7 linked regions of the Macaca fascicularis genome follow. The protein of the gene in region 2 purifies or fractionates together with the protein of the main gene of each other region. This does not show direct contact. Links are inferred from orthologs where the notes say so. Each region holds a gene or a part of one and is shown on either strand. Other genes may lie near its edges.

The links.
Region 1: the proteins of NAPA (region 2) and SEC22B purify together in Homo sapiens (affinity purification with mass spectrometry; 3 studies listed by BioGRID and IntAct, counting the BioPlex papers as one, with this or other methods). This does not show direct contact. The link is inferred for Macaca fascicularis from reciprocal best matches to the Homo sapiens genes NAPA and SEC22B.
Region 3: the proteins of NAPA (region 2) and STX4 purify together in Homo sapiens (affinity purification with mass spectrometry; 4 studies listed by BioGRID and IntAct, with this or other methods). This does not show direct contact. The link is inferred for Macaca fascicularis from reciprocal best matches to the Homo sapiens genes NAPA and STX4.
Region 4: the proteins of NAPA (region 2) and STX10 purify together in Homo sapiens (affinity purification with mass spectrometry; 3 studies listed by BioGRID and IntAct, with this or other methods). This does not show direct contact. The link is inferred for Macaca fascicularis from reciprocal best matches to the Homo sapiens genes NAPA and STX10.
Region 5: the proteins of NAPA (region 2) and VTI1A purify together in Homo sapiens (affinity purification with mass spectrometry; 3 studies listed by BioGRID and IntAct, with this or other methods). This does not show direct contact. The link is inferred for Macaca fascicularis from reciprocal best matches to the Homo sapiens genes NAPA and VTI1A.
Region 6: the proteins of NAPA (region 2) and VAMP4 purify together in Homo sapiens (affinity purification with mass spectrometry; 3 studies listed by BioGRID and IntAct, counting the BioPlex papers as one, with this or other methods). This does not show direct contact. The link is inferred for Macaca fascicularis from reciprocal best matches to the Homo sapiens genes NAPA and VAMP4.
Region 7: the proteins of NAPA (region 2) and SNAP29 purify together in Homo sapiens (affinity purification with mass spectrometry; 3 studies listed by BioGRID and IntAct, with this or other methods). This does not show direct contact. The link is inferred for Macaca fascicularis from reciprocal best matches to the Homo sapiens genes NAPA and SNAP29.

The regions. Positions count from the first base shown.
Region 1 is NC_088375.1:114,243,133-114,245,839, reverse strand, and holds the end of SEC22B (vesicle-trafficking protein SEC22b), read right to left. Parts: intron 2,482-2,707; coding exon 2,327-2,481; 3' UTR 501-2,326; downstream 1-500. UniProt on the Homo sapiens protein: SNARE involved in targeting and fusion of ER-derived transport vesicles with the Golgi complex as well as Golgi-derived retrograde transport vesicles with the ER.
Region 2 is NC_088393.1:55,519,461-55,522,960, forward strand, and holds part of NAPA (alpha-soluble NSF attachment protein), read right to left. Parts: intron 2,253-3,500; coding exon 2,136-2,252; intron 1-2,135. UniProt on the Homo sapiens protein: Required for vesicular transport between the endoplasmic reticulum and the Golgi apparatus. Together with GNA12 promotes CDH5 localization to plasma membrane.
Region 3 is NC_088394.1:29,214,372-29,218,394, reverse strand, and holds the start of STX4 (syntaxin-4), read right to left. Parts: upstream 2,801-4,023; 5' UTR 2,543-2,800; coding exon 2,513-2,542; intron 2,336-2,512; coding exon 2,234-2,335; intron 2,145-2,233; coding exon of another isoform or gene 2,123-2,144; coding exon 2,023-2,122; intron 1,887-2,022; coding exon 1,812-1,886; intron 1,375-1,811; coding exon 1,304-1,374; intron 1-1,303. UniProt on the Homo sapiens protein: Plasma membrane t-SNARE that mediates docking of transport vesicles. Necessary for the translocation of SLC2A4 from intracellular vesicles to the plasma membrane.
Region 4 is NC_088393.1:13,550,163-13,552,672, forward strand, and holds the end of STX10 (syntaxin-10), read right to left. Parts: intron 1,832-2,510; coding exon 1,724-1,831; intron 1,316-1,723; coding exon 1,209-1,315; intron 1,117-1,208; coding exon 1,022-1,116; intron 930-1,021; coding exon 853-929; 3' UTR 501-852; downstream 1-500. UniProt on the Homo sapiens protein: SNARE involved in vesicular transport from the late endosomes to the trans-Golgi network.
Region 5 is NC_088383.1:121,710,711-121,714,210, reverse strand, and holds part of VTI1A (vesicle transport through interaction with t-SNAREs homolog 1A), read right to left. Parts: intron 3,263-3,500; coding exon 3,192-3,262; intron 2,543-3,191; coding exon 2,481-2,542; coding exon of another isoform or gene 2,477-2,480; exon of another isoform or gene 2,470-2,476; intron 1-2,469. UniProt on the Homo sapiens protein: V-SNARE that mediates vesicle transport pathways through interactions with t-SNAREs on the target membrane. These interactions are proposed to mediate aspects of the specificity of vesicle trafficking and to promote fusion of the lipid bilayers.
Region 6 is NC_088375.1:29,326,331-29,329,830, forward strand, and holds part of VAMP4 (vesicle-associated membrane protein 4), read right to left. Parts: intron 1,371-3,500; coding exon 1,270-1,370; intron 362-1,269; exon of another isoform or gene 306-361; coding exon 226-305; intron 1-225. UniProt on the Homo sapiens protein: Involved in the pathway that functions to remove an inhibitor (probably synaptotagmin-4) of calcium-triggered exocytosis during the maturation of secretory granules.
Region 7 is NC_088384.1:31,848,204-31,851,703, reverse strand, and holds part of SNAP29 (synaptosomal-associated protein 29), read right to left. Parts: intron 3,400-3,500; coding exon 3,314-3,399; intron 696-3,313; coding exon 597-695; intron 1-596. UniProt on the Homo sapiens protein: SNAREs, soluble N-ethylmaleimide-sensitive factor-attachment protein receptors, are essential proteins for fusion of cellular membranes.

The sequences.
Region 1 (2,707 bases), on a different chromosome or scaffold from region 2:
TCCTCAAGTCTCCTCTGTTGTCTGTGCTTACCCTATGGGCTAAGCTGAACTGAGCTGTTACATTTCCAAAATATGCCTCGCTGTCTTTATGCATGCCTTTGCGCATGCCACTGACTCTTCCTAGAATGCCCCATTCTCCTTCTCTAGAAAGTCTTCTCTTACCATACTTCTTCCCAAAATAAGTTAGGTGTCCTTTCTTAATGTGCCTCCAATAACCCCATACAGTATTTATCCCACTCTATTTTAGATGCCACTTTGGTTGCTGATACATTTCATCTAGTCAGATCTTCCCACTGCCTCTTATAAAGAAAACCAGGAGCCACGTTATGATATCCTTGTTCTCTAATTTTTCTGCCACCCTGATCTTAAACCACTTTCTTTTTCCTTTGTTGACATTTACCCCATCCCTTTATTAATTAGCCCAACAAGATTAGAGAGAAATGTATCTACAAAGGATATATGTAGATAAATTAACTAGATAATAAAACTTCACACTGAAGTGAATATTCTAGAAGTATTTATTTCATTGCTGACCATTAGGTTGCAGCATGCAACTCTCAACAATGAGCTGCCCCTCTCCACTCCTATAGAAGCTCCAAATACTATGGTACCACTATTTAGGTTTTCAGCCTTTCAAAGGCTTTTATTATCAACATCATCATTACTTAGGCAGGAGCCTTTCAGGGACTTAAAAGCACTTATTATCTATAAAAGGTAACTTCATATTGCATGCACAAAATTCCCAATTGGCAGATTTAGGTCCATAAAAGAAAAAAAATATTCTAGTTCTATAAATTATCAGGAATAAAATAGCATTCCTCCTTGCCTTGTTATAAGGAAATAATATTTTTTTTCCTTACCAGGAATCAGGATAGTATCTTTGAGGATCCCTCAGGGTTATAAAATTGCTTACTGGTTAAAGTTTTCGCCAAAGATATTAAGAAATAAAAAGTTCGCTCATTTTCCTGTACAATTTAAAGAAGTATCTGCAGTATGTACAGGAGTTTTACGTTATATTGCAGACCCTTGCGATAATATTTAAAAGGCCTATTTTCCCCATTAAAAAATTCTACCTCAGAAGGTAAAAGGAAATCCCCATCATCCCTGAGCAGAAAAGGAAAAAATCATGGGTATTTTAATTAGTTAATAGAAACCACTATAAATGAGTTATCTATCTCTAGAACATTCTCAGAGAATTTACATGAACCAAAACAGGAATGAAGTGCTCTCAGAGACTTTTTCTCAGGTAAATGTATTTAGTAGTTTGAGTAGCTGATCTGCAAAAACTTTAAATTTAATTAACTACATAAATGAATATTTTTTATTTTGAAATTTGAGAATGTCCTAAGAGGATGTCTACAGGACATGAAACTACTAGGTGCAGGAAAATTTTTTAAATGTTAGCAAATTGTGGCAGGAGGAAAACAAACAGTGGAGAAAATTGTGGTAGAGAAAGTAAAGAAGGGGCAGGAGAAAGCTGTACATATAACCTGGGCCTTCCTTTCTTCTCATGAAGCCAGGGGCTTCATCTATACCCTATACTTGCTCTTACACTAGTACAAACCAAATGCTGCAAAATAAAAGTAATAATGACCCAAACTAATTTAAGTCTTTTGTTTAAGGAGTAAATGAGAGAAACATTGTAGCTTCTCAATCGAAGAGTGCTATAATTTCAAGGTATCTTAATATAATTCACTTAACCCTAAAGCAATTGTGCAATAAGCAAATTATAAAAGGAAAACAACAAAGGTTAACTTTCTACTGGGGCCAATAGACAAGATCTGTGGAGCACAGCAATTAACCTTCACATACTGGAGTCTTGTTTAAAAGGCCATCAAAAACTCAGATTATTGAAAATCACAAATGTCACCAACAAAAGGAATGTTGATTAGAGTCAAAAAAAAAAAAAAAAAAAAAAAAAAACCTTCCCAAAGGACTGCCTTCTTTGAAGGAATTTCAGAATGTTGCTAGTACAGGTTGACTAAATCTCATTGATGGCTCCATTAGAGAATGAGAATGCCCCAGTCAGTGCTGTTTTTAAAATGCACTGGGAGGGAAAAAACGAAATAACAATCTACTGTTCCCTAACATATATGGCTTAGCACCCAGAGAAAGCCTCTGCCCCTGAAACAGACTTTCTACATAGGGTTAAGCTTCATTAAATGAGGTGTAACCTTTCATTTTCAGGACGTCTCTTTTCTTTCAAGGTCTTTAGAGGCAGAAGTTCCACTTGGATTCTAATACACATCTCTGTGAGCTCAGTTTCCTGAAAATATACACCTACTGGGTTCTAGGTTCTCCCTTACCAGTGACTGTATTCATTATTTCACAGCCACCAGAATCGGACATACACTATTAACATGATGAAAAATACAGCTACTGCTGCAAGTTTGGCATAAGTGGAACGCATGTTCAAGTACTTCGCATCCTGGCGGTATTTCTTGGACAGACTGGACAAATTGTTAGCCTTTGAATCCAATGCTGTCAAAGAGGAAAAAAGGAAAACATTAATTAGTCCCTGGAAGTATTTTGCCAAAAGTATTAAGGCATTAAAAATAACCAAAATGAGCAGCATTGCAACAACCATGAATCTTAAATCATCATTTTTATTTTTAAGACTAACATTGCATATACTAATTGATGATCCTGAAACACTGTAAAATCTATAATACAGTTTAAAATTATCAGATCAGATTATGTCTGAATT
Region 2 (3,500 bases):
TGACTTGCCCAGGATCACAGGGGAGGCAGGGTCCTCCCAGACCATCCACCACCTGCACTGCTGAGCCACACACAGCTGCTACATGACATTCTCTGTGAGGTGGTTTTTTTTTTTTTTGAGACAGGATCTCATTATGTTGTCCAGACTGGTCTTGAACTCCTGGGCTCAAGTGATCCTCCTGCCTCAGCCTCCCAAAGCACTGAAACTACAGGCATGAGCCACTGCACCTGGCCTTCTGTAAGGCCTGACTAGCCTCAGACACACAGCAGCCGCTGCCCTTGATGCCAGTGTGCCCCTTGCCCCACTGGGAGCCATGGCTGGGGTGCGCATCTTTAGGCTGTAGCTCTGGACACTGCGCTAACACCCCTCCCTGCTCAGCACCACCTCCCCAGGGCTCTGGACATGGCACCTGCTCTCAGCTCTACTCAAGTGAGGCTCGCCTCTCAGAACTGCCCCCTTTCTTCCCCGAAAGATCTCCCCTAGCCAAATTCTCCCCCTCCTAGCCTCAGCTCTGCGCAAGTCGGCCTCTGTGCCCTGGATGTGGCATCATCTTTATACTTTCCTACCAGTCAGAGTCCTCAGCCACCTTCTGAGCTTCCTAAGGCAAGGGAAGGGCCACATCCAGACTCCAGGCCCACACCCTGCAGAGTCTAGCTGGAGAGCTAGAAAAGCTCAGATCAAACACAGGGGACGGACCCCACCATATCCCACTGCCAGGTAGGGCCTGTCTGCAGGAAGTGAAGAGTCTGCTGAAAGAGCAAATGGCACTCACTGTTCTGCAGCCTGGCGCTCAGTGCTGCCCCAGAGAGTCCTTCTAGTCACTCCAGAAGAGGCAGCAGCTGAACATCACAGATGCTAAGACAGCGCCTCTAGGCCAACCAGTTTCCCAGGGAGCAGAAGGAAAGGCTTGGCGGGGCAGCTTAATGGAAGGCATGGAGATTTCCTGGGGTAAGTCAAGCTTAAAACCAACTCAGGGTCTCCCTGGGTCATCACTGCATCACCCACGCAGCCCGCTGTGGCCCCGTGCTACCAGCCAGGCAAGCTCCACGGCCCACCCAGTTACAAGGCTGCTCCTCCGCCTCTTGCCAGGCCTGAGCCCCACCATGTGACCACTGAGGCCAATGTGTGAGATGCTCGGCTGGTGAGGAGCAACTGGTTAGTCTAAGGACAGAGAAGTGCTACTGGTCAACACACAAATTCATCCTCGTCTGGGAACTAATATCTCAGATCATGACAAAGGGGTATGCCAGCGGTTCCCAAATACGGTGTGTGAACCAGTGCTCGCTGATCCATGGAGGAAGCGCCCTGCACTGCTGCAAATCTGTCTTCTCTTGGGAAGAACAGACCCTTATTCCAAGATCATTTAGCTGCTTTTTACTTTTTAAAGATTTATATATTTTCCATTCCCCTGAGATGACAGTGACAGTAGATGGTCATTTTTAAAAACTGCCTGTGCTTTCTAATTAGCAACCTGTACCTAGCACCAAGATTTTAAAAAATAAATTAAAATTCCCGCCCCATACAAACACTGGGCTGGGCTTCCTCTTCAGGAGGCACCCAGGGGGACAAAAACTGTTTTCTCACCATGAGTCAGCCCCAAACTGGGCTTCTGTCCCTAACACGCTCTCAGTTTAAGTAATTTGTTCTCTGGCAACTATATCTCGGGCTCTGTTCTCTCTAATTCCTCCCCAGGATGTAGGGAAGCCAGGTTGGGCTAATTTCCGCTCCTTTTTCGGCAGCAACTCCTACCTGGCTGGTCTCAGAAATCCCCCCCACCCTGCTCCCTTCTGCATGTTAATTCTGACAACAGAACAGATTTTCCTCTCTCCCCGGCAGGCGGTGGGTCTGCAATGGAACTCCCACTCCCAAATGCTCCGGGCTTGGGAAGGGGTGATCAGCTGCACCGACAGGGTAGACAGGGGGCGGAGACTTGAGCAGGGCGCGAATGCCAACCACAAGGAAGGGAGCCAGTTCTGAAGTCAAAGCTCACTCTACCTCAGGCGCGTCCCTGCCAGCCTATCACGTCGGCCATTGGAAAAACCAGAGCCTCCAGGAAACCCGAGGACTCGATGCAGGGTGCTAGGACGGCGCTTTGGGCCAGGCAGGCAGCCCCTGTGGCCAACAGAGATCCTCACCTTGGGGGTCAGCTTTCTTGAATGCGTTGCCGGCGTCCACAAAGCAGGTGGCTGCGTCGTGCTTGCTCTGGAGCTGCAGGTGCAGCTGCGCAGCCTGGCAGAACGCGTTTCCAGCAGCTGGAACAGAAGAGAAGGGTGGTCCCGGCCTCAGTGGGGCTCCACACTTTATGAAGCCACAGAGGCACTGCCCTGGGAGGTGGATCGGGCTCTTGAAAATGTGGAAAGAGTTCCCAAGATAGGACGAGGGTGACCTGAGCGAGCCCAGACTGAGGCCTAGACCTCAGGTCTGCTGGCTCCTGCACTGAGGCTCCTGGTGGTGTGCCTGACAGTCTCTAAGGGCGGCAGGAAGCTGCCTCAGGGGAAGCCCCTGAGCCCCAGGTATATGGAAAGAGAGCCAGGGTAAGCCCAGGTAAAATGCCATGTCCCTAATCCCAGCTATGCTGGTATTTCCAGGGCCACCACTTCTAAAGATCCAAGGAGAAGGCAGACAGAGCTGAGTTGGAAAGGATATAAAACAGAGTGAGTGGCCTCCTGCACCTCCCAGCCTGGGCAGTCCTCCCTAGGGGAGCCTCAAAGCACAGGGCCCAGAACCACCACTAGAAGGCAAAGTGCAGGTTGAATCACGGGGTGGCTTGGGAGGGGTATTTTGGGAAGCAAGGAGCAACTGAGATTAAACCACATAACACCTTCCCATCTACTCCCCTTTCCAAGTCCTGTTTCTTTCTCCACAGCTCCCCAAAGCTCTTCCTGATTCACCCAACTCCTCTGCCTCCGTTCACATTGTTCCCTTCACTGCAGATCCCCAAGGACAAGGCACCTGTGTGAATTGTGAGGCTCATGGAGTTGGGGTCGGACAACACAGAGCCGGCTCCCTCCAGGAACTGCACGTCCAGAGAGGGAAACAGGATGTGGACACCAAGAATGAGTACATGCAGACCAATGCCAATGGGGGAGGGCAGAAGAGACGGCGCCTGAAGCCTCGTCTGTCCTGTGCTCATCTGCACACAGTCAGCTTCTGTGGGTCCCAAGCCATTCTGCCCACACATCTCCTAACTGACGTTTGGGAGGCAGCAGTGTCTCTCCTCCTCCTCGTGGAGCTGACCACCTCCAGCTCAGTTCTGAGGCTTCTCCCCTTCATTCTCCTCCAGCTGAATCTGAGTCAGAGTTTCTGAGCTGGAAGAGGACCAGGAGGCCTAGCCCCATCCTCTTAAGTTTGAGCAGCAGAAGAGACAAAGCCTTCCAGATTTTCACTATATGATTTCATTATTATTTTCAAGAGTTCCAAATTTGAGTATAAAATTACGGCCAGGCATGGTGTCTCATGCCTGTAATCCCAGCACTTTGGGAGGCCAAGGTGGGCGAATC
Region 3 (4,023 bases), on a different chromosome or scaffold from region 2:
ATCTGCTCTGCCTTGCCCCTTCTCCTGAGACCTTAAATATGCTCATTCCTTGGAGTTCCTTTTCCAGAGATACATCTGCTCTCCTGGTTCCAGCTGCACCCTTCCAAGATGCCCAAGCTGTTTCATCTTCAATCTGGGGTCCTTGCTGAGCCCTGGGCTCAACTACTCCAACCCTGACCTCTTGGTATCCTCCTCACTGGGGACACAAAGAGGGCCAGTCAGATCACTGCAAATCTCCTTACTAAGATATCACCCCAGGGGCCGTGCACGGTGGCTCATGCCTGTAATCATAGCACTTTGGGAGGCCAAAGCAGGTGGATCACTTGAGGACTTGAGGTCAGGAGTTCAAGACCAGCCTGGCCAACATGGTGAAACCTCATTTCTACCAAAAATATAAAAAACTAGCCAGGTGTGGTGGTGTACGCCTGTAATCCCAGCTACTTGTGAGGCTGAGGGAGGATTATCGCTTGAAGGAGGTGGAGGTTGCAGTCAGCCAAGACTGTGCCACTGTACTCCAGCCTGGGCGACAGAGAGAGACTCCATCTCAAAAAAATAATAATAATTTTTTAAAAAAAGATATTACACCAGGGGAGTTCCTCTTCAGTGTCGCCCCAGGGAAGTTCCACTTCCTGACTTCTTGAATTCCACCTGTGGGACTAAGGATGTCCCTGTCACACAGATAGCAAACCTGCCAGTCAATTTGTGACTTCTCACTCTCCTTCCCTGGGCAGCGCCATTAGCCACCAGATCCCACGTGAGTAATGTCTTTATCCCCTATTGAACCCTAACTCCTCATGTTGACTCCTAGAAAACACGTGTCCCAGCTGGGCGCAGTGGCTCACGCCTGTAATTCCAGCACTTTGGGAGGCCAAGGCAGGAGGGTCACCTGAGGTCAGGAGTTCGAGACCAGCCTGGCCAACATGGGGAAACCCCGTCTCTACTAAAAATACAAAAATTAACTCGGCATGGTGGTGTCCGCCTGTAATCCCAGCTATTCAGGAGGCTGAGGCAAAAAGAAAAGAAAACGTGTCCCACAGTCAAGCCTAGGTCTTGTCTGGGGTCAATAAGTAACTTCTTATTGAATGGAAGAAAATAAAGCAGGGTGTTATAACCGGACTGAGCATCAGGAGACCTGGTTTCCTGACCTTGAGCAAGTTCTTTCTCTCTCTGAGCTCAGGTTCCCCACTTGGAAAAATCATCCAATTGGACTCCATGACCTCTACAGGCCCTTCCTTCATACATCTGTCATCTACTACTTCATGAAACATTTGCTGAAATGTCATTTCTGAGAAAAAAAACCCACCTGGGTTTTTCTCATTCTTGTGTTGATGGAGTTATAGTTCTCATCAGCTTCCTCCTTCTGGGGCTCTATGGCTGTGGGAAGACACAGGGGTATTGGGGGTACTTGTCTCCATAGGATTTTTAGGGAAATATAATTTATCATAAAATGACTAAGGCTGAGCCTCCAAGAGGAGAAAGTAAGTTTATTTTTCTTTGCATTACATCACTTGAGTTCCCGTACGAATGCAGAGGCCACCTAACAAAACCCCATCTCCCTGCCCAAAGAATGCCCCAGTGGGCAGTGATAACTGTGTAAGTAAATGGTTTCATTGTAAATAAAAGAACCTGAGAGACTGCCTTGTGCTGTGGAGAGTACAATGGCCTGGAGGCCAGAAGACAGAGATGCTAGAACCAGGCCTGCTGTGTGACCTGGATATATCACTGGCTTCTCTGGGCCACACACTCCCCAGATATACCAACAACAGGGCAGGATCAGAGGGAAGGATCTGCCTGAGGTCCCAGTAGCTCACCCTTCAGCTGCAGGCGGATCTCCCTCCCCAGCTGTTTGATCTCGTCGCGCAGGTTCTGCAGCTCCTGCTTCATGCCTGAATAAGAGAAGGCCACGACTCCCAAACAGCAGCCCCCACCTCAACAAACCACCCTGGCCACCACCTGCGTGGAACTACAACCCCCACAATCCCTGGGGCGGAGCATGCGCTATGCAGCCGGGGTTTCACTCACTCTCCTCAGGAAGGGGCGTGGCCAGGATGGTGACCTGCTGTTTCTCCAACTCCTGGACTTTATTCCCCAGCTTGACAATAGTCTGCCGAATTGTCCGGACCTGGGGAGGGTGACCGAGAGGGCTGAAAGAGATATGGGGTACTCCAGACCACGCTGCTCCTCGGGTCCTCCTACCCCCTCGCGAATCCAGGCCAAGACTCCATCCCCTTACCTTCTGGAAGAACTCCTCGTCCGGGCTCCCCAGCCGTGCCGTGCCCGGGTGCACCACCAGCGCGACTCGCTCCTTGTCCTCTTCGTCCGAGCTGTCATCCCCCTGCCAGGCCCGGAGTCATTGGCACCACTGTTTCGCTGCGGCTGTCACCCCGCAGGACCCACAGGCTTCCGGGACTTTCCTTCCTGGCCATCAGCCACCCCTCCCTACCCCGAAGACCAGGAGTCCTGCGTTCCAGTTCGTCCGCGCGCCCCCATCCCCGCTGCCCTGGCGTCTCACCTGCCTCAGCTCGTGGGTCCTGTCCCGCATGGCGGCCTGAGCTCTCCCTCCCCGGCGTCAGACCGGGAGGCCGGCAAACTTGGAATACCCGTACCCCACTCACACTCTGACACTCCCCTCCCTCCCCCTGTGGACCCCAACACCCCCACGAGCCACCAGAGCCTCCGTCCCTTGCACCGCCCACAGTCAATGGGAAGGCGCCGACCCCGGGGACCCCCCAAGGTTCCACAGGTTGGAATTCCCTTTTCTTCCCCCCTCCAGCTCCCGCAGCCTCAGCCCCGCCCCTCCGTGATAAATTCGGGGCATGCGCATATGGTCGCGTCTCTTCCTCGCCCGAGGCGCGGAAGGTGGAGTCGGAAGTTATTGCGCCCCGAGCGGAAGCGGAGCTGCGTGGACGCGAGAACTGGCTACCGTCACCGGAACCGTTGCATCTTCCAACGGAAATCTGGTTGCCAAAAGGGGTAGGAATACGTCATTTGTACGTAATCTGAGGCACCCGCATCTCATATCACCCCATGGTGCCCCCACCGCGTCACGTGAGCAACCCGGTCCCAAACTCGTGGACCGCAGAATGTGACGCTGTGACTGTCACGTGTCCCGGCTCGGTCAGCGCCGTCTCTGGGACGCTGTTTTCATCACGACGTCCCCGGCACTCCGACCACCGAACGACGCCCACACGGCCCCCGCGAGGTGGGGAGGGGCGCGCCCACCACTCCCAGAGGCCTTTCGAGGCAGTGGGTGGTAGGACCCTTGCTGACTTCGCCTTTATTGCTTTCGGGTCCAGGGGCGTGGGCGGACTGACGACTTAGCATTTGGGGCTGTCAGCATCATGGGACCTTGAAAATCGGGAAATAATAGGATCCGAGTCGTCAGCGTCAGAAAATTGCAGGGTTGTGTGGGCAGGGAATCTAGGGGTGGAAAGTGACCTCAGCCAAGGCAGAAACCTCTTCTTCCGCATCCTCCTGGCGCAGCCTCTGACAGGTGGGCAGCCAGCCGGCGCCCTCCTTGAACACTACAGCCCGGCTGCACTCACCACCTTGTGGGCTGTCAGACCATGTCAGGGCAGCTCAGGCTAAGAAAAGTGTCTCTGCACGCTGCCTTCCCTGCCACTCACACCCCCCAGACCCTGCCTTGCATCTGAGGCAGGTAATGACTTTGTTCTTAACTGAATCTGGGGAGTTCCTAGCTCAGTACCAAGCACATTACGGGCCCTCTATAAATACTTGTGGACAGAATCTTAGCCTTTCATGTATCTGAGGATGAAGACCCTGGTTCCTTGGCCTTCTTTAGGCTTCAGTCTTTCTGACTGTGACACTTCTCTAATCCTGGCTATCGAGATATTCACTCATTTTTTATTTTTAAAAATTTTTACAAGATGGGGTCTCACTATGTTGTCCAAGCTGGTCTCTAACTCCTGGGCTCAAGCAATCCTCCTGCCTCAGCCTCCCAAACTGCTGGGATTACAGGCATGCACCACCATGCACAGAACATTCATTTAATGGATATTTTTG
Region 4 (2,510 bases), about 42 Mb from region 2:
ACTCCATCTCAAAAATAAAAATAAAAATAAAAAGATCAAGAGAACCTAAGCCATTAAAAAAAAAAGATTCACCTGGGCGTGGTGGCTCATGCCTGTAATCCCAGCACTTTGGGAGGCTGAGGCAGGCAAATCACTTAAGGTCGGGAGTTTGAGACCAGCCTGGCCAACATGGTGAAACCCCATCTCTACTAAAAATACAAAAATTAGCTGGGTGTGGTGGCACATGCCTGCAATCCCAGCTACTTGGGAGCCTGAGGCAGGAGAATTGCTGGAAACCAAGAGGCGGAGGTTGCAGTTAGCAGAGATCGCACCACTGAACTCCAGCCTGGGTGACAAGAGTGAAACTCTGTCTCAAAAAAAAAAAAAAAAAAAAAGGAATCCGGAACACGCACGCGTGCACAGACACACTGGGGCACTTGTGCAAGCACTGGCTTAGAATGGGAGTCCCAATCAGGGCTCAGTCATGCATTTTGCAGTCAACACACACCACACGACACAAATACGTATAAAAAAGGCTGACGTTTTATTTCCAGGTTGGCACATGTGTAAGGCACAGGGGCGAATGGCTTTGGGGTCCCAGAACTGGAAATGGAGAGGGGTGTGTCTGAGGTGACGCTGCCTCTACCACCCCCTAAGTGCACTTGAGACAGGACCAGTGGTGGTGGTTTCGGCCCAGGGTCCTGAAGGGTACCACTGGCTCTGGGGGGGAGCCGTGGGGACAGTTCCCCAGGCAGGAACCTCTACTTTCCAGCTACCCAGGAGGAACCCTCTCCTCCTAGGGGGCTAGGCCAGCTCCAAAGTGCTTGGTGGCTCCCCAGGCTTAACGGACCAGCCTGCCAGGGAGGGCTGGGGTCAGAGAGAGAAAAGTAAGATAAGAACGAGGAGAAGCACCCCCACCAGCACGGCGATGGCACACCACTGTCGGCGGTCTGGGAACGAGAAGATCAGAGGTCACCGGGGAAGAGGGTACCACCTACAACCTGCCCCCACTAGGACTGACCTCGCCCCCAAGGGGACTCACCACTCGTCATGTGGGATACTTTGGCCAACTTCCTGAGGACCCCGTCCATGCGGGACTGGGTGTGGTCCATCTCTTGGGCGAAGGCATCCAGCATGCTGCCAAGAACAGGATGGCATCAGCCCCAGACGGCCCAGACACACCAGGGTGGCCGAGAGACCCTGGCCCACCCCCAGGGTCCTGGCCTCACATGCCCTGCTCGTCCAGCTCTTCCCCAACGCGGCCGGACATGTGCTTCAGAACCTGGATGCTCCCAGACACCATCTCCAGCTGTTGATCCTGTTCGTCCATGATCAGCTGCAGAGCGAAGGGGTGGGAGGTGCTGTTGAAAAGGACCCCAGAAGGCCAGGCGCGGTGGCTCATGACTGTCATCCCAGCACTTTGGGAGGCCGAGGCAGGTGGATCACTTGAGGCCAGGAGTTCAAGACCAGCCTGGCCAACATGGTGAAACTCCAACTCTCCTAAAAATATAAAAATTAGCCAGGCATTGTGGTGGGCGCCTGTAATCCCAGCTGCTCAGGAGGCTGAGGCAGGAGAATCGCTTGAAGCTGGGAGGTTGCAGCGAGCTGAGATCACGCCACTGCACTCCAGCCTTGGCAACAAAGCAAGACTCCATCTCAACAACAACAACATAAAGGGACCTCAGACCTCAGATCGGTCTGCAAGACTCTCCCCTCCCTGGATCCACCCCACCGGCCCCAAAACCTGCTGTGTGGCCTGCTGCTCTTCGATGTAGCGAGACGTGGCCGAGACTGCACTGGCATCCAGCAGGTCGCTGAGTGACTTCTGGGGAGCTGGCTTGCCTGCCAGGATCTGCAGGGGCACACAACATAGGCTCGGGGAGGGACCCCAACTCCCAGAGGGGCATGGGGGACAAATCCCCACAGTGGTGAGTCAGGGAGGCAGACTCTGGGGCAGGAGAGCCTGCATTCCCCACTCACCACTTACTAGCAAGGTGACCCAGAGACCCCGTCATTTGACTTCCTTGTGCCTCAGATTCCTCATCTGTAAAATGCAGAGAACAGGATGGGCACGGTAGCTCAGGCTTGTAATCCCAGCACTTTGGGAGGCAGAGGTGGGCAGATCACTTGAGGTCAGGAGCTTGAGACCAGCCTGGCCAACATGGTGAAACTCTATCTCTACTAAAAGTACAAAAATTGGGCTGGCTGCAGTGGCTCATGCCTGTAATCCCAGCTCTTTGGGAGGCCGAGGCAGATGGATTACAAGGTCAAGAGTTTGAGACTAGCCTGGCCAACATGGTGAAACCCCATCTCTACCAAAAATACAAAAAGTAGTCAGGCGTGGTGGCGGGTGCCTGTAATTCCAGCTACTCGGGGAGGCTGAGGCAGGAGAATTACTTGAACCTGGGAGGCGGAGGCTGCAGTGAGCCAAGATCACACCACTGCTCTCCAGCCTGGGTGACAGATTAAGACCTTCTCTCAAAAAATAAAAAAATAAAATAAAAAATAATAACATAACATAACATAAAATA
Region 5 (3,500 bases), on a different chromosome or scaffold from region 2:
TCATCATATGAAAATAATTAAGCTTATGTTATATGCAGGTAAATGCTTGCACTGCACAATGAGGACATTCATTTCTTTTACACATTTGTGAAGGTAGCAGATGAGCACGATTCAGTATCATAGCATTTCCTAAATCAGAAGCGCTTGCTGACACACGACATAGCTATGCAGTTTTGGTAAGAAGAATAGTAAGAGAATGTGGCTTTTCTTTCTGAAATACAAGCTCACCAGGGCTGGAAGCGAAAGCCATATGAATGAATGGGAGGGATGTAACAGAGAAAGCAAAATCAGAGCATTCAATAAGAGGCTTTGGTACATAAACCCTGCCTCTATTTCTCTGCAGAGAGCTTTTCCATGAGATAACCAAAATAATGAAGCAGAGAGGTTGGTAAAATGTTTGTACCTTTTCCCAAGTCCAAAATACATTGTATATCATATGGGGCAGTAATTAGAAACTAAAACAAAACCACCACTGCATTTGGTCCCCAGAGACCATTGCCAGGTCAAGGCATTGGTTGAAAATATCTGAATATCCTGGCTGATACCAAGATCCCAGCTGTGCCTAGTGAAAAACATTGTCATGCATATGAACAGGTGGACTTAAGCGTACCCTTGGTTCAGATGTAGCAAGGTGATGTCCATCTGGGAATTTTTATTTCTGTTCATACTCTAGACACATCCCAAAAGAAGATGAGTCAGTGATTGACTGAGTTTGCTTACAAAGAGAACCCCATGTAGATTTCACCAGAGTAATTTTCTTCCGTAGGCTTCTGAAACAACCACGTTATTATGATTTCCCTACAGAAAGCCCAGTCAAAGGTTGCCGAAGTTGTTTGTGCTTCGCCCTCTCTAAATGACTTGCAAATTTATTCAAACACAATATGAGGAGATGCTTTATTTGTTGAAATAACTGTCTGCAGTGTCCTGCACTAAAGGGTGAGGTACATCAAGCAGAAACATGGACAGAAATACATTGGTTTCGAAACCCATAAATCCTTATTTGAATCTGCCAACCTGAAAGCCACGTGGAGCCCGCATAAACTATTTTTCCTAAATGCTACATCTGATTAAGCCATACCATTAAATGACAGCTGAACTTTAACATTAATATGATATTATTTAAATAACCACATCATTTTTTTTACACTAAAAATGATGAATGATTTCTGGACAGCTCAATTGACATAAAGCAGGAGGACTCTTTAATGAGATTTGACAAAATGGAGACATATGCAGAATATTCGTTACAGCTCACGACGCAGGAGCCCTCCCAGGAAAGCAACAGAGGTTTTTCCCTCCCCTTCCTTTCTTTTTTATTGTCTATAGGCACTGAAGCATTCCTTTCAATCACCACTACCCTTCTCTCTGAATTCTGAGTTTTTCTTAGGCCATTTACCTAGTACTCTTAATCAGAGAATTTGATGGCTTATGATTCTGAGTTGGGAGTCAGGGTCCAAGAAAATGAGAAGGAATGTCATATTATGCAAGCCTTGGCTGGAAATGTCCCAGGAACTTTAAGCTTGCTACTGGTCAGGCTACTTAGAAAAATCTTAACAGTCTTGAAGACCAAACCACTAGACATTTGATTGATTCTTATGTAATAAATCTGTAACACGGCAAACATACTTTTAGCAAACTATTGTATATGGATACGTGATCAAAGAAGACTTTAGTTATTTTTAGATGGTTGTCTTTATAGTATCAACTATAAAGATTTCCTTCTTAAAAATTCTAATTAAGCTATTCCAGAGGCCATTCTCAATGTTTCTCATTCACTTTTCTATCCACAGTTCCAAACTGACAGTCATGCTAGATGATATTCTTATGTGGTAGATTCTGAATGTGAAATAATTTTGCGCTGAATGTACTTATAAGAACATTACCTGCATTCATTCATTTATTTTCTCATACTATTTAGCATATTTTTCATCAATCAAGGTTGAGTTACACATATAAAACATGAACATTTGTTTGTTAGCACATATTATTCAGATAATCTTGACGTTTTATAAATCATCTTTCAGTGTATACATAAAACAGAAATGTTTCCCCAAACCGTGTCACTTAAAGAAATGAAAACAAGGCAACACAGAGCAAAACTAACAGCAACTGTGCTCCTGAAAATGGTAGGTCTGCATTCCCTCCATAAGAAGGAGGCCATCAAAATAGAAAATAAAATCAGCCTGCTCCTGCCATGGGGCCTTCCTCAGGCTATGAAAAAACACTTCATGTCTAACCCTAATTTTTTCCATAGCTTCAGGTTACCCCCCTAGCTCAAGCTTTCTCTCTAATCTGTGTTACTATGTGTCCCTGTCCAAATAAGAGTTAATATCAGTGCTTTATTATTTCAAACGGGTCCTGACACAGGGCACTAAGAGCAGAAGCTTAAAAGCATGTAATATGCCCCGTTGCAATTGAATGAAAACATAATAGTTTTAAAAAGAGACAGAGAGAAAGATGGGTCCCTACCTTGCTCTTACCTTCGCAACATCCCCGTCAGAATCCTGGAGCTTTTTCCCAAATTAGCGTCTGTTTCCCGAAGCTACAAGAAGAACAGCAATGTTAAAACAAAACAAAAGTTCATGCAATTAGACTATTTCTAAAGTGCATGGCAAGTGACAATTTATTTCACGGTAGAAAATCCAAACAATAAAAATGTTCAAATATACAAAAATAAATACATTTCTGACAGCTACACAAACATGGAAAATTCTTATATTTGGAGAATGACACATGAGAGGTAATCTTGGGAGCTTTAAGCTGGATACTAGAACCAGATATAAAAGCAAAGCACAGGCTGAAAAAGTTTCATAAACATTTGGTAATTCATCTCCAACTTATGAATGTGCAGTCCTAAAAACATAAAAATAATATGAATTGAGAAAAGATGACCACCAATAATTCTATAGTTTTCACTCTAAAAGATGAACATACTCCAAAATCTCCCTCAGTGACCTTCTCCTCTATAAGAAGTAAATAAAATACCCACCTGGGAGCATTCTGGGATGGGGACATAGAGTCGGCTGCTATTTGCTCCATGTCACTCTCTTTCTTTTCCTTTCCACAGACTTTACACCCTCTTTCACCTTAGATACATATAACTACCTAATTGCTACTGTTTATGTCCCAATGCCTTTCATTTATGTCTTCATTTACTGAATATGTGAAAAAACTATATCACTTATACTTACTCTTTCACGTGCTCGCTGTATCTTTTCTCTGTCATGACTAAGGTTTTCCAACATCTCCTGACCAATTTGCTCTATGGAAAAGAAAATCTGAGTAAGGAAAAATGACTCGGAGTGCACATGAGAATAACTCTCAGGAGTACCCAAATGACATAAAATGTTAAAGTAGCATGCATGCATTATACATTAGACACGTATTTCAATTCATGTATTTGAAAAATATAAACAGTATTTGATAAATGTGTCTATTTATCTTAGGTATAATTAGATATTTGACCTATAGAACATAACCAACATGAGAATAATGACTTA
Region 6 (3,500 bases), on a different chromosome or scaffold from region 2:
AAAAAAATCTATGAAAACATCCTTTTAGGCATACTGATTTATTTAGTTATCCCTATCCCAAAAGCAATTAAGTTAACAAGTATTTACTGAATTTCTACCATGTCTCAGGACAGTTATAGGCCCTGTTCTCACAGATGTTATGCTCTAGAGGCCCTTTTTCCTTCATGTGTTTGAATACCACTTCAGATGCTGACCAATCTATCCAGGAGCTTCTGATTTACTTACTTTGCATCCGCGCCACCACATTTGCCTTCGAAGTTGTTTGGATCTGTTGCTAAAAGCTGTTGCATTATCCGATAAGCTTTCTATATCACATAGAGGATGGAGAGAAGGATTAAACGACATAACAGGATTCTTTTATCTAGTCACACAAAGATAAGAAAATATTAATTTCTACTTCTGCAAATTTATTCCCTTTTAAGCATGAAAACAACATTCTCCCTTTTTTCCACCCACAAACTCTGGCATTCTACATTATAAAAAAAACAAAAACAAAAACAAAAAGTAAAAAACAGTTTGCAGATCAGTTTGCTCAATCCTTTTTTATTATAAAATTAAGAAAAGTCTTTTTAGGGCCTTAATGCTTATAAATAAGCTTAGGAATTCTAATAAGAAAATACTCTTTAAAAATTCAAACACTTGGCACACCTCTAGAAAAAAAATTACATGTAGAGAAGTTAGCTTTTTAGAAGATATCAAAAGTGACTGATTTTAAAGGAAAACAATATACATTTTAAAAGTGACTAAGCGAGGTTGTCTTTTTTTTAAGTCTGTCAAAGATTAATCAGGTATTCAGCCATTCACCATTCAAACAATATTTGAGTGCCAAGTACATGCCAGGTATGGGTATATAGGTTATAGGTGTAATGACTGAAAGTAAAGAAAGGTGACTAAGTTACCAAATGAAACATAAAATAAAAATAGCAGATAAGTTTGAAACAAGTGTTGAAAAGTGAGTAGGTCTTTCGGCCCTGAGATCGTGAGAAACACAAAGTTCATCAACATCAAAGTGCGAAAGAAAAAACAGCTCTACTCTTCACTCTTCAACAATGAAATTTTAAATTCTTCATTCTCCAATGAACAATTAAAAAATAATGTAACAATAAGATGACTCAAAGTAAAGGAGTTAAAATTAAACCATTAAAATCATACACTTAAGAACCAAATACCAGTTTCCTAAGCCAAGATTTGTAAATGCTGGCTAGATAAGTAGAAGAAAAAAACTAGCAAACAGATTAGTAATATCAAGGAATACATGAAGATCTGTACCTGATTTGTCCTGTAGTTCATCTAGTCTCTCCCCTCTCTCAATTACCTTTGTAATATTTTCTTGCATGACATCAATAACTTCATCCACTTGATTCTGAACACTAGTTTAAAAAAGTTAAACAATTATTTATCCTTCTTTTGAGAATATTTACAATTTCTGAAATTTCATTAGACATAATAAAGAACAGCAAATTCTCGGAGAATTATTCAACTATTAAATTTAAATTTAGGACTTTATAGCAATGTTCTTCCATTTGTGGGCTTCAGTATTCAGATAATGAAAGACAATTTGATATAAATTAAAGTAATATTTAAAGATAGCTTACTTTTAGCCCTGCTTCTGACTTGCAACCCATAAGCAAGTTAAATGTACTGTCAGCATGCTCATTAAGTGCAGAGTTTAAACCGCTTCACTAAAAATAATCAGGTTTTCTTTTCAACAGGCTATTGAGGCTGCACCCTACTTTTGCTATATATTTCATACACGAAGGCTAACAAAGGAGGTATGTTAACATACTTTTTAACATACCTTTTGCTCAGGTACGGTAAAGGCTTATGAAACATTCCTAGTTTCCAGAATGGAAATGTAGGGCATATTCTAAGAGATACTGATGCTCAATGGGTAGAATTCTTCACTGCTCATCAGATTTTTCTTAAACAGGGTATAAGATAACTGGGGACACCTGGGAATATTTTGAAGAACCCACCAGGAAGCAAAAAGGAAAAAATTGTTTTCTGTTTTTCGATTGTTTGTTCATCCTTTATATTAGATGATGGGGGTCTGTTTTAACCAAATTTCAGGCTGTTCAGTAAAGACTTAACCTAAACTTAAAATTGTAATAACTGTCTTCAGCTATCCACTCTCATTCAGGAGTTAACTCCAGAGTACACAAACATGGACATGTTTAATCATTTTAAGTGTCTTATTCTCCTCTGTGGCTCTAACCACAAGACAAAAAGTTATCTTAAATTACTTTATGAAATAAGTCACAACAATGAAATATTTAAAAGGAGAAATAAAGCAAATCCATGGTCCTCACAACTAAACACTGTTTAAAGTGCACTGGATTACTTACTGCAGACATGTGCTGCATAACATTTTGGTCAATGATAAAGCACATTTACAACAGTGGTCCTATAAGTTATAATACCATATGTTTACTGCATGTTTTCTACGTTTAGATAAGTTTAGACACACAGATACTTACCATTGTGTTATAATTACCTGCAGTATTGAGTGCAGTCACACGCTGTATGGCTTTGTAGCCTAGGAGCTACAGGCCATACCATATAACCTAGGTGTGTAGTAGACTACACTCTGTAGGTTTGTGTAAGTACTCTATGATGTTCACACAATGAAACTGCCTAATGATGCATGTCTCCAAACGTAGCCTGTCATTAAGGGTCCATGACGGTTATAAACATTAAATGTATAAATATTTAAATAAATGAAGATATGCAATTGCGTTTCTAGTTGGAAAAGGAAGAAGTGAGTAGGGGGCTTTAACAATTTTTTACAATACACAGATATGGTCTCCGCCCTCTACCCCACACAAGTCCCCAAACTAATGTAGTAAGTGAGGAGTGAGGCACGGTCATGTTTAATTTTGAAAGAGTTCTATCCTTTCCGATCACTGAGCTAGTTCTTTAAAAAATTTGCTATAAAAACAAAATGAAGGCCCATTTAGACATAGGTGGATTCAGAAGTACTCTCAGATTCAAGTAGCAATTACTAAGCTTGATGACAGTAACCTCCATCCCAGGTTAAAAGCATTATGTACACCCACTGATTACCCACACATAAACTTCAAGATTTTTCACAGCATCCCAGAGTTCTGTGCTTCCCACATATTATTCCACTGGAGGATATAAGACTGAAGCTCAACCAAGTTGGGCATGCAGAGTTCTCTTCTGTCCAAACAGATCTGAAAGAACCCCTAAGTCTCTAAGACATCTTGTTGCAACTCCCAGTCCCCTAAGTAGAGAGTTGAAGGTGTTCATCTTATTTAAGAACAATGGCACAAATACACAACTAATTAATTTCTTCAACAAATAACGAGAACCTACTACGTACTGTTTTAGGTACTGAGGAAGTAACATTGAACAAAATAGACAAGTAATCCCAGCCCTTACGGAACATATGTTCGAACGTACATTGAATGCACTGTATTAACCTTATAGCTGTGAAACAGCATGCTCTACCCCATTACTCTATCTTATTTATAGCATGT
Region 7 (3,500 bases), on a different chromosome or scaffold from region 2:
ACAGGGTTTCACCATGTTGGTCAGGCTGGTCTTGAACTCCTGACCTCAGGTGATCCACCTGCCTTGGCCTCCCACAGTGCTGGGATTACAGGCGTGATCCACTGCGCCTGTCCCCCTGCACACCCTTCTGTTTTGAAACATCATGCTGGAGGCTGTGTGGCCAAAATGCCAATTGCAACACGAGCGCTAATTACATCCCAGGCACTTTCTGGCTCAGGTAACCTTCCCACTGTTCTCAGAGGCAGCCCGTTTCACAAGGAGGAAAACAGGGCTCTGAGTGGCCAGGTGGGAAGGGAAGGATGGAGTAAGCGGTCATGTCCAGGCTCCACTTTATCGCCTCTCAGGGACTCCTGGGTCCCTGGTGCTGTTCATGAAAGTGAGAGGTGGGGAGGGCTCGGTTGGGCTGGAAGTAGGAAATGGTGAGAAATGGAGAGATTCCAGAGACAGTGAGGTGGCAAGATGGACCCAGCTTAGTGTGGGATGCGATGTGTGGGGAGGGAGCTGAAGCTGGAGGGTCCTCACGTAGGGGCTATGCTTGGCGTGAGCTGCCTGAAGGAACAGTGGCTTACAGAAGCTGGTGTGGCGCTCAGTCTTACCTAGGTTGCTGTCGATCTTCTGGTGATAGGCTCGAAGGTGTGGGTTCTTTGGGTAAGCATCGGTACTCACAGCAGAACCAGCCCCTCTGGGGACAGGGTCTAAGTTTAGAAGGAGACACCAGGAGAGTGGTTAATTGACATTGTTCAAATGCTGCTTCACACACCCAAAACAATTTCATCTGGAAAATGGGTGGAAGGAATGAAAGGTTGGTTCTGAGGCTATCCAGAGGGATGAGGGAGGAGCACAGTGCAGGCTCATGGGCCAGGAGAGATGCTTCCACAGGGTAGGGGATGGTTCCCACTTTCCCTCAGTCCTTGGGAGATGAAAGACCCTCAAACTAAGGGTCACCTACTCAGACCCTGGTGCACAAGCTCAGGAAAGACACGAGTCACACAAGTGACAATACACAGTGGAACTGCAATAATGCAAAACTACACAGTCTGTGGACAAAGTCTAAAAATACACATTGTTACGTTACATAAATGGAATTATGGGTAATTTTGTTTCTTTCCGAAATTTATCTCTACGCTATATTTTCACTTGAAACAAATAAGCCAAAAAAAAAAAAAAAAAAAAAAGAAATGTTAAATAATGCACATTTGCCGTAAGAAATCTTCCTTGAACCCTAGTTTCTTCTTTTTTAAAGTTATCTTTCTTGGCTTGAATGAACTTCAGTTTCTAAATGCACACAGAAAAGCCCTGTCATCCCAGTTTATCTCCTTTAGGGAAACATCACTTTCTAGACTTAGCATATTTCCTCCAGCACCAACCAACTGAAACCATACTGCAAACTGTGCCGATTTTTTTTTTCAGTCTTTTTTTTTTTTTTTTTTTTTTTGAGACGGAGTCTCGCTCTGTAGCCCAGGCTGGAGTGCAGTGGCCGGATCTCAGCTCACTGCAAGCTCCGCCTCCCGGGTTCACGCCATTCTCCGGCCTCAGCCTCCCGAGTAGCTGGGACTACAGGCGCTGCCACCTCGCCCGGCTATTTTTTGTATTTCTTAGTAGAGACGGGGTTTCACCGTGTTAGCCAGGATGGTCTCAATCTCCTGACCTCGTGATCCGCCCATCTCGGCCTCCCAAAGTGCTAGGATTACAGGCTTGAGCCACCGCGCCCGGCCATCAGTCTTTTAATATATACGACACAAATGGAAACTCCTTAATTCCTTAAAATTGTGTCTTGGGTGCAGTGTCTTGTGCCACTTCTCCAGGGTGTGATGAGGCCGATTTTCCCCACCCTTGCCTTTCAATTTACACTCACTTCCTCCACTTGCCTTTCCAGACTGAACTGTGCTGATGGTGTCAGTCTCTCCTGCTTCCCGCTCTTCCTCCATCTGATCTCCCCAGCTGCATCGACCACAACCATGGTGGGTTCCAGAGCTTCCATGGTGTATCGTTTTCTTGAAGGCAGCACAGTTTTAAGCCTTTGGTTTCTAGCACCAATTTCAATGTACCCTGGCTGTTGGGGGGCCTATGACGGAGGCCCCAGAAGCCCTAAATTCCTTTCCAGATAAGGGATATTTCTGGGCCTATCACTTGATAGAAGTGGAATGATTTGACCAACACTCACTGTCTTGCACACCTTGTCCATGTGGCTGCTGCTCCTCCTGCTTGGGCTGGAGGCTGTATTAGCCCCTCATTGATGCTGTGACAAATGACCACAAACTTGTCTTACGGTTCTGGAGGTCAGAAGTCCAACGTGGGTCTCACTGGGCTGAGTCGGGGTGTCCTCAGGGTTGCACTCCTTCTGGAGCTCTTGGGAAGAATCTAATTCCTCACCTTTTGCAGTTTTTAGAGTTCACTTGTGTGCCTTGGCAGGTGAGTCCCTTTCTCCATCTTCAAGGCCAGCAACATCTTCAGATCTCTGACTCTGCCACTCTCTCTTCTGCTTCTCTTTCCACTTAAAAGGGACCTTTGTGATGACACTGGACCCAACTGGACAACCCAAGATAATCTCCCCATCTTGCTGATTAGCAATTGTAACTCCATCTGCAACTGTAATTCCGCCTTTGCCATATAACCTAACAGACTCACGGGGTCTGGGGATTAGGACGTGGACAGCTATTTACCAAGGGGTTTTTCTGTAGTTGCCTTTTTACTGCTGGAACAACTGAGAGTGACATAGGCAGGAACCGATGATGGGCAGGCTTATTGTCTTTTTTGAGACAGAGTTTCACTCTTGTTGCCCAGGCTATAGTGCAGTGGCATGATCTCAGCTCACTGCAACCTCTGTCTCCCAGGTGCAAGTCATTCTCCTGTCTCAGCCTCCCAGGTAGCTTGGATTAGAGGCATATGCTACCACACTTGGCTAATTTTTTTGTGTTTAGCAGAGACGGGGTTTCACCATGTTAGTCAGGCTGGTCGCAAACTCCTGACCTCAGGTGATTCACCTGGCTTGGCCTCCCAAAGTGCTGGGATTACAGGCGTGTGTTATTGCACCAGGCTAGGCAGGCTCATTTTCAATGGAACGCAGGCCTTCACTTCCTTATTCTCCTCTCCATGGAGGCAGGGAGGAGGGAGGAGCCCTACCATAAGGCACACCCCTAGTTCCCCAAGAGCATGCCGGGTCCCTAAGGCCCTTTGGCTAGCATGGGTGATGCTGGCAGCTGGGGCCCCTGCCCACTTCCCCCGAGAGATTGCTACTGCCCCCTAAGGACCAATGCCAAACCCAGAGGTCTCCCTGCTAGAATTCGGGCTGTGCACACAGGTATCCACTTACCTGTATCATCCAGCTTTCTAAGGTTTGGGTGGCTGGCCTGGTACTTTGCTTCCTGTTCTTTACTTGTACTTATGGCTTCTTTCAATCTTTGGATAAAAGTTTACAAAAAAGGACAGTATTAAAAAAGGAAAAATCCCTATGACAATGTTATCAGTATTTTCACATAATGCCTGTATGCCAAAAATCA